Linked DNA regions of Macaca mulatta. The protein of the gene in region 1 binds, or shares a complex with, the protein of each later gene. Links are inferred from orthologs where the notes say so. Each region holds a gene or a part of one and is shown in the gene's direction. Other genes may lie near its edges. The genes, in order: GABBR2 and KCTD16.

What was found.
Region 2: the proteins of GABBR2 (region 1) and KCTD16 are in contact, whole or in part, in a crystal structure (PDB 6M8R), measured with the Homo sapiens proteins. The link is inferred for Macaca mulatta from reciprocal best matches to the Homo sapiens genes GABBR2 and KCTD16. Residues at the interface, in NP_005449.5 of Homo sapiens: Ile882, Asn883, Ile888, Gln889, Arg891, Leu892, Ser893, Leu894, Gln895, Leu896, Pro897, Ile898, Leu899; in NP_001357415.1 of Homo sapiens: Asn30, Gly32, Gly33, Gln34, Val35, Tyr36, Asp64, Leu65, Ala66, Lys67, Asp68, Ser69, Arg72, Phe74, Gly79, Phe80, Arg83.

The regions. Positions count from the first base shown.
Region 1 is NC_133420.1:59,698,452-59,702,910, forward strand, and holds the start of GABBR2 (gamma-aminobutyric acid type B receptor subunit 2), read left to right. Parts: upstream 1-1,388; 5' UTR 1,389-1,875; coding exon 1,876-2,196; intron 2,197-4,459. UniProt on the Homo sapiens protein: Component of a heterodimeric G-protein coupled receptor for GABA, formed by GABBR1 and GABBR2. Within the heterodimeric GABA receptor, only GABBR1 seems to bind agonists, while GABBR2 mediates coupling to G proteins.
Region 2 is NC_133411.1:153,077,341-153,081,863, forward strand, and holds the start of KCTD16 (BTB/POZ domain-containing protein KCTD16), read left to right. Parts: upstream 1-1,484; 5' UTR 1,485-1,493; intron 1,494-1,839; 5' UTR 1,840-2,165; coding exon 2,166-2,997; intron 2,998-4,523. UniProt on the Homo sapiens protein: Auxiliary subunit of GABA-B receptors that determine the pharmacology and kinetics of the receptor response. Increases agonist potency and markedly alter the G-protein signaling of the receptors by accelerating onset and promoting desensitization.

The DNA.
Region 1 (4,459 bases):
GGGCAGGGAGAATTTGGCCTGGTTTCCCTGGCGCTGTCCAAGGTACTTTCTAGTAGTTCTGCTCAGCCTCCACTCTCATCTTCGTGCTTCCTAACAACTCAGCCTGGATTCAGAGCTGCCCTTGCCTCACTCCAGTAGAGCTGGTGTGTAGCCATCATCATCATCATCCGGTCCAAATCCCTCACCATATGCCAGAGGGAACCGATGTCCAGAGCAAATGAGTCAGGGCAGTGCCCCTCCTGGAGAGGAAACTTGCAGTCCCACATCCCTGGCTCCCACTGCACCGCGCACGGAGTTCCTGCTGGCTCTGGGTTCCGGTCCTCCAGTAGCTCTGTGTGCTTTCACTAGCTACAGAACCTCTCTTGAGCACCAGTGTATTCACCTGTAAAGTAAGGGTGAGTAACACAGTATGCTTACAGGGCGGTTGTGGGGATTACTTCATAATGCGCACAGTAAGTACTCAGCGAAGGTCAAATTCCCATTCTTATTACAAGGTCGTCGATATCTCCCACAGTCCCTGGTTCAGGCTCAAGTATGTTTTGTGATTTGATGTCCTACTGTGTTCCTCGCATTAATCAGCCCCTGGGACTTTATAGATTAATGACCACGTTTCCTATTCTTGAAGTATGCAGAGGCACAAGGAATCCAAGGTCTTAGGTCAGCTCACTTGGGTACATCTGTCTCGGGACTGCTTTGGCTAAGATTGGCCAGTGCGACCTGACAGAGACAAGGCCAAGTCCAGGGGAGCGGCCCCGCCTTGGCCTGAGGATAGTGCTCCCACCCTGGGAGACTTCTAGGGCGGAGCCCGTCAAGAATGGGGACGCGGGGAGGTCAAATGCCTGGAGGGGGCGGTAGCGCACGTAAGGTTGGGACCCCAGCTTTGCCTGGGGTTGGCAAAGGGCGGTCGCTTCGTCTGGTGGGGAGGAAAGGGGTATCCTCAGCCAAGGCCCTAAAGGCCGGGCAGCCTGGCACCAACGGGCGTTCGAGCACCTGCAGGCGTCTTCAGCGACCCCTGGGACTCGGTCAGGGGCTCGTGGGCGCCAGAGCAGAACGGGAGAGCGTAGGCTGCAGATGCCTCTGGGACGCCTTCGTGGAACGTTCGCCTGTCGAGACCTTCCCGGCCAGACCTCCAAAAAGCGGTTCCAAACCACAGTGCAGGTGCTACAGGCAGCGCTCGGCGGAGCGGCGGCGGCCACTGCGTGTGCCAGCGCGCGGTCCCGGTTCCCAGATCGCTGTCCCCGGGCGCTCTGGTGCCTGGAGGTCAGCGGTCGGCGGGCAGCGGCAGCTGGCGCGGCGGAGGGCCGGGGGCGCGTGTGTGCGTGTGCTGGGAAGGTGGCCCTCCCCGCAGCCGCCGCAGCGCCAGCGCCTCCCCCACCCCCTGCGCGCACAGCTCGTCCCCGTCCCTGGAGGCGGCCCGAGCCGCCGCTGAGCAGCCTCGCCTTCGCCTCCCGCGTTTCCTGCCGTCCGCCCTCCCCAGGCCCGGCTCCAGGGGCTGCCGCCTAGCAGCTCCCTGCGGGAGAGCGGTTCAGAGCGCGCACGGGGGAGGGCGGAGGCGGCCCGGTGCGGGGCGGCAGCGCTGGAGAGAGGCGCGCGCGGAGACGCCGGCCCCCCTCTCCGCGTTTGCTCGCTTGCTCCCCGCCTCCCGCACTCCGCTCGCTCCCACCCCTTCCCGGCGTGATTGATCCGTCACGGGCGCCGCCGCTGCCGCCGCCGCCGCGGCCGTTCTGAGCGGAGCCAGAACCCGAGCCCGAGACGGAGCCGGGGCCCGGGCCGGCGCCATTGCGCGGGCGCCGCGGGAAGAGCTTGGCGCGGGGCGGCGGGCCGGGCCAGGCCATGCGGGCCGAGTGAGCCGGCGCCCGCAGCCCGCGGCGCGGCATGGCTTCCCCGCGGAGCTCCGGGCCGCCCGGGCCGCCGCCGCCGCCGCCACCGCCGCCCGCGCGCCTGCTGCTGCTACTGCTGCTGCCGCTGCTGCTGCCTCTGGCGCCCGGGGCCTGGGGCTGGGCGCGGGGCGCCCCACGGCCGCCGCCCAGCAGCCCGCCGCTCTCCATCATGGGCCTCATGCCGCTCACCAAGGAGGTGGCCAAGGGCAGCATCGGGCGCGGTGTGCTCCCCGCCGTGGAACTGGCCATCGAGCAGATCCGCAACGAGTCACTCCTGCGCCCGTACTTCCTCGACCTGCGGCTCTATGACACCGAGGTGAGTGTCCGGCTGCCCGTGCCGTCGGGGCTTCGGGGGGCAGTGGGGTGGGTGGTTTGGACAGGGGCAACCTCCGGCCTTTGGTCAGAGCCCCTATTGACCGGCCCGCGTCTGCCGAGGCCACAGAGGTCTGGTGCCCAGTGCTCACCCCCCGCGGTCCTGCTGGGCTTGGCTGGCACAGCTGGTAACATTTGCCGAGCACCCCCTCCTCTGGTCTTATGTGTGTATGTGTGTGTGGGGAGGGGTGGGGGTGGGATGGAAGACTGGGGTCTCTTTTGACCTGAGAAAAAGGAGTGGAGAAGGTGGGGGCTGGACCCCCAAAGGCCTACATTGACTGCCCCTGTCCAGGTCCCGCTCATGGGGCTGCGAGGTGCGGAGTGGGAGGAACAGGCTCATTGACTGCAAACTGGGCCACCCAGGGCCGGAGGGGCCGCGGGCCTGCTCACAGGCCCCCAGGGAAGCCGAGCCGCGCTTTGAGGTCCGGAAGGCTCCGGAACCCAAGGGGCTTGAGCGTGCAACGTGGCTGAGCGCCTGGTGCGCGCCAGCAGCTCTGAGCCCGCACAGCGCGGGCAGGTGTGGGGCCACCGGCTCTGCAGCGCTTCTGCCTGGACGCGCCCGGCGCTGCCTGTGGCCAGAGCGATTTCAAAAGGAGACCCCAGCCTCGGGTTAGTTGCTCAGAAAGTGCCCTGGCAGTTCTCGTCCCGGAAGTGCAGTGGTGTCTGGCCGCGCCGCTGCTGTTGGCCGGGCGGTTGCAGGCAGTTTCTCCCGGCTCAGGCTTGAAGCATCCTACCTAGTAGCCCGAGCACGGACTTGGAGAGCAGTCCTGAGCGGAGCCAGAGAGCCAAGGGCTTTCCATCCCAACACCCCTCCCCACGGCCTCGGTTTGGGTTCTGCCTGAAGCCCCAGAGCGGACCTTCACCGCCAGCCCAGGGCTGGAGCGTGCGGAGCGGGTCTGGAGGAGCGATCGCTGGCCGCGCAAGGTCGGGTTTGCGAGTTTTTCCGGACTGAGCGAGCCCCTGTGCTCCGGCCGCAGCGTTTGAGACGCGGCCTGAAGGGGGCAGTGATTTCCTGTGCAGTACGCTCGGTTGGCGCCTCTTCCACCGCGCGGAGCGGGCCGAGGCGCTGGGCTTGACCCTGGCTTCCTGGGACTCTCCAGGCGCTTCTGCTGGAGTCCAGGTGCAGAACCCTTTTGTGGGGAGGGTCGCGCTACCGCTCTGGTGGTGCAATCTGGGCTTCCCCTCCTCCTTGGTCGGACCCTGTTTATGTCCCCAGAGAAAGAGCAGAATCTAGATTGTATCTTATTCCCTGCCTCCCCGGCTTCACCGGTGAACCAGCTTGCTCCGCGCTGTAAATAAAAGGTGAAGGAACCGGTGGCAGTTGGCAGCGGTGCGCGCAGGCTGCTGCAGGCGGAGAGGCGTCCTCTGCCCCAGAGGATGCAAGCTGGCTGGCTGTGCAGGGCTAACCCGGTGTGAAATCATTTCCGAATGACATTCCTGTCGCCCTCGTCTTTGCCCGAGCATCTCAAGTTCTGTGGGGGTACTTGTCTGGCACACATAAATGGAGAGAGCAATGCAGTTACAGGGAGGTATATCTTCTTGACAGTTTCTCTGTTGCTACCGCACATATTCTTCTGGAGGGGTCACTGCAAAGCCGGTCTTTTGGGGACAAACACATTTTTAGATAGGGCAGCCCTGCTTGCATCATCACCAAGTATTGTCAGCTGCATAATGTTTTCATCATCAGTTTCTTCCCTTTAGAAAGCTGCCCTGAAAGAGATTTCATACTGGCCTGTTTGTGGCAGCAAAGAGATGGGTGCTTCGTTTCAGGGTGTGGGTTGAAGCCTTTACATTTTATTTTTCAAGTGTGTCTTGATGACTTTCTGAGTGAGAGGACCCAAAGTCAAGAGGATGAGGCAGTCAGAAGACTCTTCAATTCGTGGGAATATTTAGAAAACAGTGGGAAGGAAGGCAGAAGATAATTTCAGCTTGTGCAAACAGAGAAGTGTCTCTAGCCTTTTGAAGGGGTCCAGAGTCAGGGCTTTGGGGTAGGTGAAGCCTGGGTTTTAGTGAGAAACTAGTTACTTTCCACCCTGGATGACCTTGAGCTGGGCATTTAATCTCTGTAAGCCTAGGTGGGAATATTATGTGTACTCTGCAGGTGACACGCAGCTTAAGGAAGATAACAAGCCAGGGTAGAAGATGCTCTGGCATGCTGTAAGCACTAAATAAATGTTTCCTGCCTCCCTTCTTCCTCTTCCTCCACC
Region 2 (4,523 bases), on another chromosome or scaffold:
GGGAGGGGGCTGGGGGCGCATCCAAAGAGATGCTCAGTAAGGAAACAACCCCAGAAAAAGGTTGCAGGTATCAATTTCTTACAGGTAAGCTAAGATAATGACTTATGGATGGATGCAAACTGTGGGCTTTCTGTGGGTGCCAGTGTTTCATGTCTTCATTTCGAAAGAGCATCATTAATTTCAGAGAGTGTTTATTTATCTACCCATCTACGTATATATTAATAGTTATTTATTTATTTGCTAGGGGTTGTGGTGGCAGGCAGACGAAACAGAAAAGAAAAAAGAGAGAATTTGAGTGTATATGGTTTAAATCAAAGGATTAAATAAAACCCACTTTGTAGTTTGAACATTGGGGTCATTTGGTGTGCGTGTCTGTGTTTTAAAGCAAGCTTTAGAGAGAAATTTGCCCTTCAGCAGGAATTCCGTGAGCGGGAAGGGGATAAGGGGGAGGGGGGAAGATTTGTAGATTTTTCAAATAAAAAGTCACTTGTGTTTATCTCACAACTTACCTCTTGGGTGGGGGGCGGGGATTTGCTGTGGGATGGTGATGGTGGTGGAGGTGAAAACAAGAAAGAATGAAAAGGCCCTTGGAAACTCCAGACTCCAGGACAGGACAGGGAGGGAAGTGGCTGCGCAGCACTGCGTCTCCGCCCCAAGCCCCGCGCGCCCGGCAATCGCGTGCCCACCGCTGGAGCGCGGCGTCCCCATGCAGTCCTGGCAACCTGTCACGGAGGAGGACGTGACTCGGAGCTGCCGCCGCTTCCTCTAAGCCATATTCCTTTAAGATGATGTAATAGTCATTTCCCTGGATGGTTTCTTGCCTGCACTGCTGAAACAACAGCATCCGAACTGCACTGGGAACTGTGGAACCACCCAGCTCCGCCACCAGAGAAGCCGGAGCCCCGGGCCCCCCGCCGGCATCTCTGCGCTGCGTTGGCCTCTGGCTCCCACCGGCTCCCACCTGGCTGGGAACATGGGAGTCTGTTTGCCCTTGCCGGCAGGTGGGGTGGCTACCTGGGACCCCAGCAGGGCACGTCTCTCCATCTTTCTGCTTCTGGGCTTTCTGAAAAGCTTCTAAGTCCTGGTACCTCTTGCAACTCTCTTCTAAGGATCCTTTCCAAAGATTTCTTTTTCCATTTTTCCCCCCCACGGGGAAGCTTTGGTTGAATATTTTCTCTGCTTTACTTCTTCAACCCAACCTCCTCTCATCACGGTTTAACTTTTTTGTGACTTGTTTTAACTTAAGATACGGAGTGAATACATATGTACCTACATACTTACATAAACACAAATAGGCATTTATATAAATACATACATATAATAGTTATTTTCCAAGAGCACACCTCTCTGGCACTTTTCATTGATACCTCGGTCGTTTACCTGTTTGGGATTTGACAAGATCCAGACTCAGTTTGGCTGTGGATTCTGATTGCTTTACAAATGGTTATTATTATTTTTTTTTCACAAGAACTGGGTCTCCAGCACTCACTAAGGTAAGCTCTAAGACTTATTGCTTTTCCTGTCCAGCTGAAAGAAAACCCCATTTAGAAGTTGAAAATTGCATGTTTCTTTTTAAGGTAGACTTACAAGTAAAATTGTTTTTCATACTAATTGCTGGAGACAGAGGCTTATAGATAAACATGTAGACACAAAATCGCATGAGAGAAGCATGATTTAATTGAAGAATGACTGAGATCAGTAGTTCCAGAGCTGCTTATGTAAAATAATCTCTCTCTCCCTCCCTCTGTTTTTCCCTCCCTCCCTCTCTCTCTCTCCAGAGGACTCTCTTTTTCTGACTCATTCCGGGTTTGAGGAAATAATTTTTCTCTTTTCCTTCAGACGGACATCTGAGTAACTGGGGAATTGGCCTGCCTTGCCTGTGAGCTTGACGGAAGATTGGATATAGATGAGTTGATTATATTCTATGAAGTAACAGCTCACTACCATCTACCATCCAGGGTTTAAACTACTTTTTCAGCATCACTTCACCTGTGGACTCTTATACATTTTGCTTTCTTGGGGGAAAAAACCTGGGATAAGAGGAGGTCATTTTTTAATAAGTTAGCATCCTTTTCCCTTTCTTACAAGTTGATCCGAAGGATAAGGCTGTGACTCCATTGGATTGCACCTTCAAATCAAAATAGCAGCAGCAGAAGAAAGGGACAATGGCTCTGAGTGGAAACTGTAGTCGTTATTATCCTCGAGAGCAAGGGGCCGCAGTTCCAAACTCCTTCCCTGAGGTAGTAGAGCTGAATGTTGGGGGTCAAGTTTATTTTACTCGCCATTCCACATTGATAAGCATCCCTCATTCCTTCCTGTGGAAAATGTTTTCCCCAAAGAGAGACACGGCTAATGATCTAGCCAAGGACTCTAAGGGAAGGTTTTTCATTGACAGAGATGGATTCTTGTTCCGTTATATTCTGGACTATCTCAGGGACAGGCAGGTGGTCCTGCCTGATCACTTTCCAGAAAAAGGAAGACTGAAAAGGGAAGCTGAATACTTCCAGCTCCCGGACTTGGTCAAACTCCTGACCCCTGATGAAATCAAGCAAAGCCCAGATGAATTCTGCCACAGTGACTTTGAAGATGCCTCCCAAGGAAGCGACACAAGAATCTGTCCCCCTTCCTCCCTGCTCCCCACCGACCGCAAGTGGGGTTTCATTACTGTGGGTTACAGAGGATCCTGCACCTTGGGCAGAGAGGGACAGGCAGATGCCAAGTTTCGGAGAGTTCCCCGGATTTTGGTTTGTGGAAGGATTTCCTTGGCAAAAGAAGTCTTTGGAGAAACTTTGAATGAAAGCAGAGACCCTGATCGAGCCCCAGAAAGATACACCTCCAGATTTTATCTCAAATTCAAGCACCTGGAAAGGGCTTTTGATATGTTGTCAGAGTGTGGATTCCACATGGTGGCCTGTAACTCATCGGTGACAGCATCTTTCATCAACCAATATACAGATGACAAGATCTGGTCAAGCTACACTGAATATGTCTTCTACCGTAAGTACAAAGGGTTCTTTTAATTTTTTATGTGTGTCAATTCTCTTCGCAAATGTATATGGTCTGTGTGTTCTGTCCATACCTAAGGAACATGGTTTGGAATTCTTTTAACTCTTGAGTTATAGTTAGAGAATTAGAGGTTATAATTCAGCTCTCATGATTAACCTAAGGCAACTTTTATCCAATGAGGTCACAGAATATTCAAAGGCCTCCAAAATCACAAGATGCAAATGATGTTGGTATATGCAATATGTAAAATGGAAACAAGCATGTATATCTTTTTTTTTTTTTTGCCAAATATTGAATTGTGAAAATAAGGTTGATGATTGCATCTTGGCTGTTTGTCCATAGGAGCTTGGTATACTCAGTGGAAAAATTACTGCTGTCTATTCATTTAGCTGGACTTTGAGGTCTATTAAGCTGGTTGCTGAAGACTTGCTTTCATCAGGGGCTTTGAAAACACAAATGGATGTTGCCATGAATAATGTGGTCTTGGCTAGATGGCAGTACAGACTGCTGAAAGGCCCCCTCCTCCCCCCAAGTCTAAAATTTGCTTTTAAGGGTTTTACAAATCTGCTGTTTGATTCTGAAGCCTTTTGTACTGAGACCTGAGTTGCACTGCAGACTTAATTAAGCTGAACTTCATTTAAGATCTATCTAAAAGGAACTAGATCCTTGAGAATTGTCAATCACATGCAAACACCTTCAGACAGCTGAGGTGATAGAATTACTGACATAAAAGGAAACCAGAGAGGGAAGAAATGAAACAATGATACTGAAGCCTTTTAAGTAAGGGGTTCTTAGAGGTAAGTTCATTTGCTTAAATGAAGATACCCTGCAGATTCCTCATTTTATGATATGGCATTATTCTAAACTATAAACTATGAGCCATTGATCTCTGAAAGGAAGAGTAAATCAGCCTGCACTCTTTGGTACTCGATTTTAACTGCCAGTTTTCAACAGGCCCAGGAGTTGGGTGAAGTAAATTCCACAAGAAATGTGTTTCCAGTGTTAACATTTGATTTCCTGTATTCTTATTCTAAAACAAATCCAGAATTCAGAATTAAAATATCTAAATTTCTTTAAACATAAAAGTAGGACTGACTTTCTTGGACTGGTTTTCTTCCTTAGTTATGTTTATTCATTTGGCAATGGTGCTGGAAACCTTGGTGAAGAGGCTAGTGGGAAGCCAAGTTGTTCTCTACTAAGCTGTCACACATTTGGTTTTGAGAAGTGAAGGCACACGTATTGCATAGCCAGAACAACCTGTGGAAAAAAATGAAATCAGTAATCAGTTCAGGAGTATACTGATGTGCAATAACAAACATCATTTGGTTCATTAATCCTATCTGTGGCCTTTATCTACAGTCTATATCTTCCTTTATGCTAGAGCCTAGTGGACAGGTATTGTTTTCTTCCTTTTGGTAAATTTCTCACTAGTGTAGAGATAAGATTCTGCCTTTTTAGCTTTGTATAAAGGAATATGACATTATCTATCGTTCTAAAGAAGAAATATCTTCTCCAAA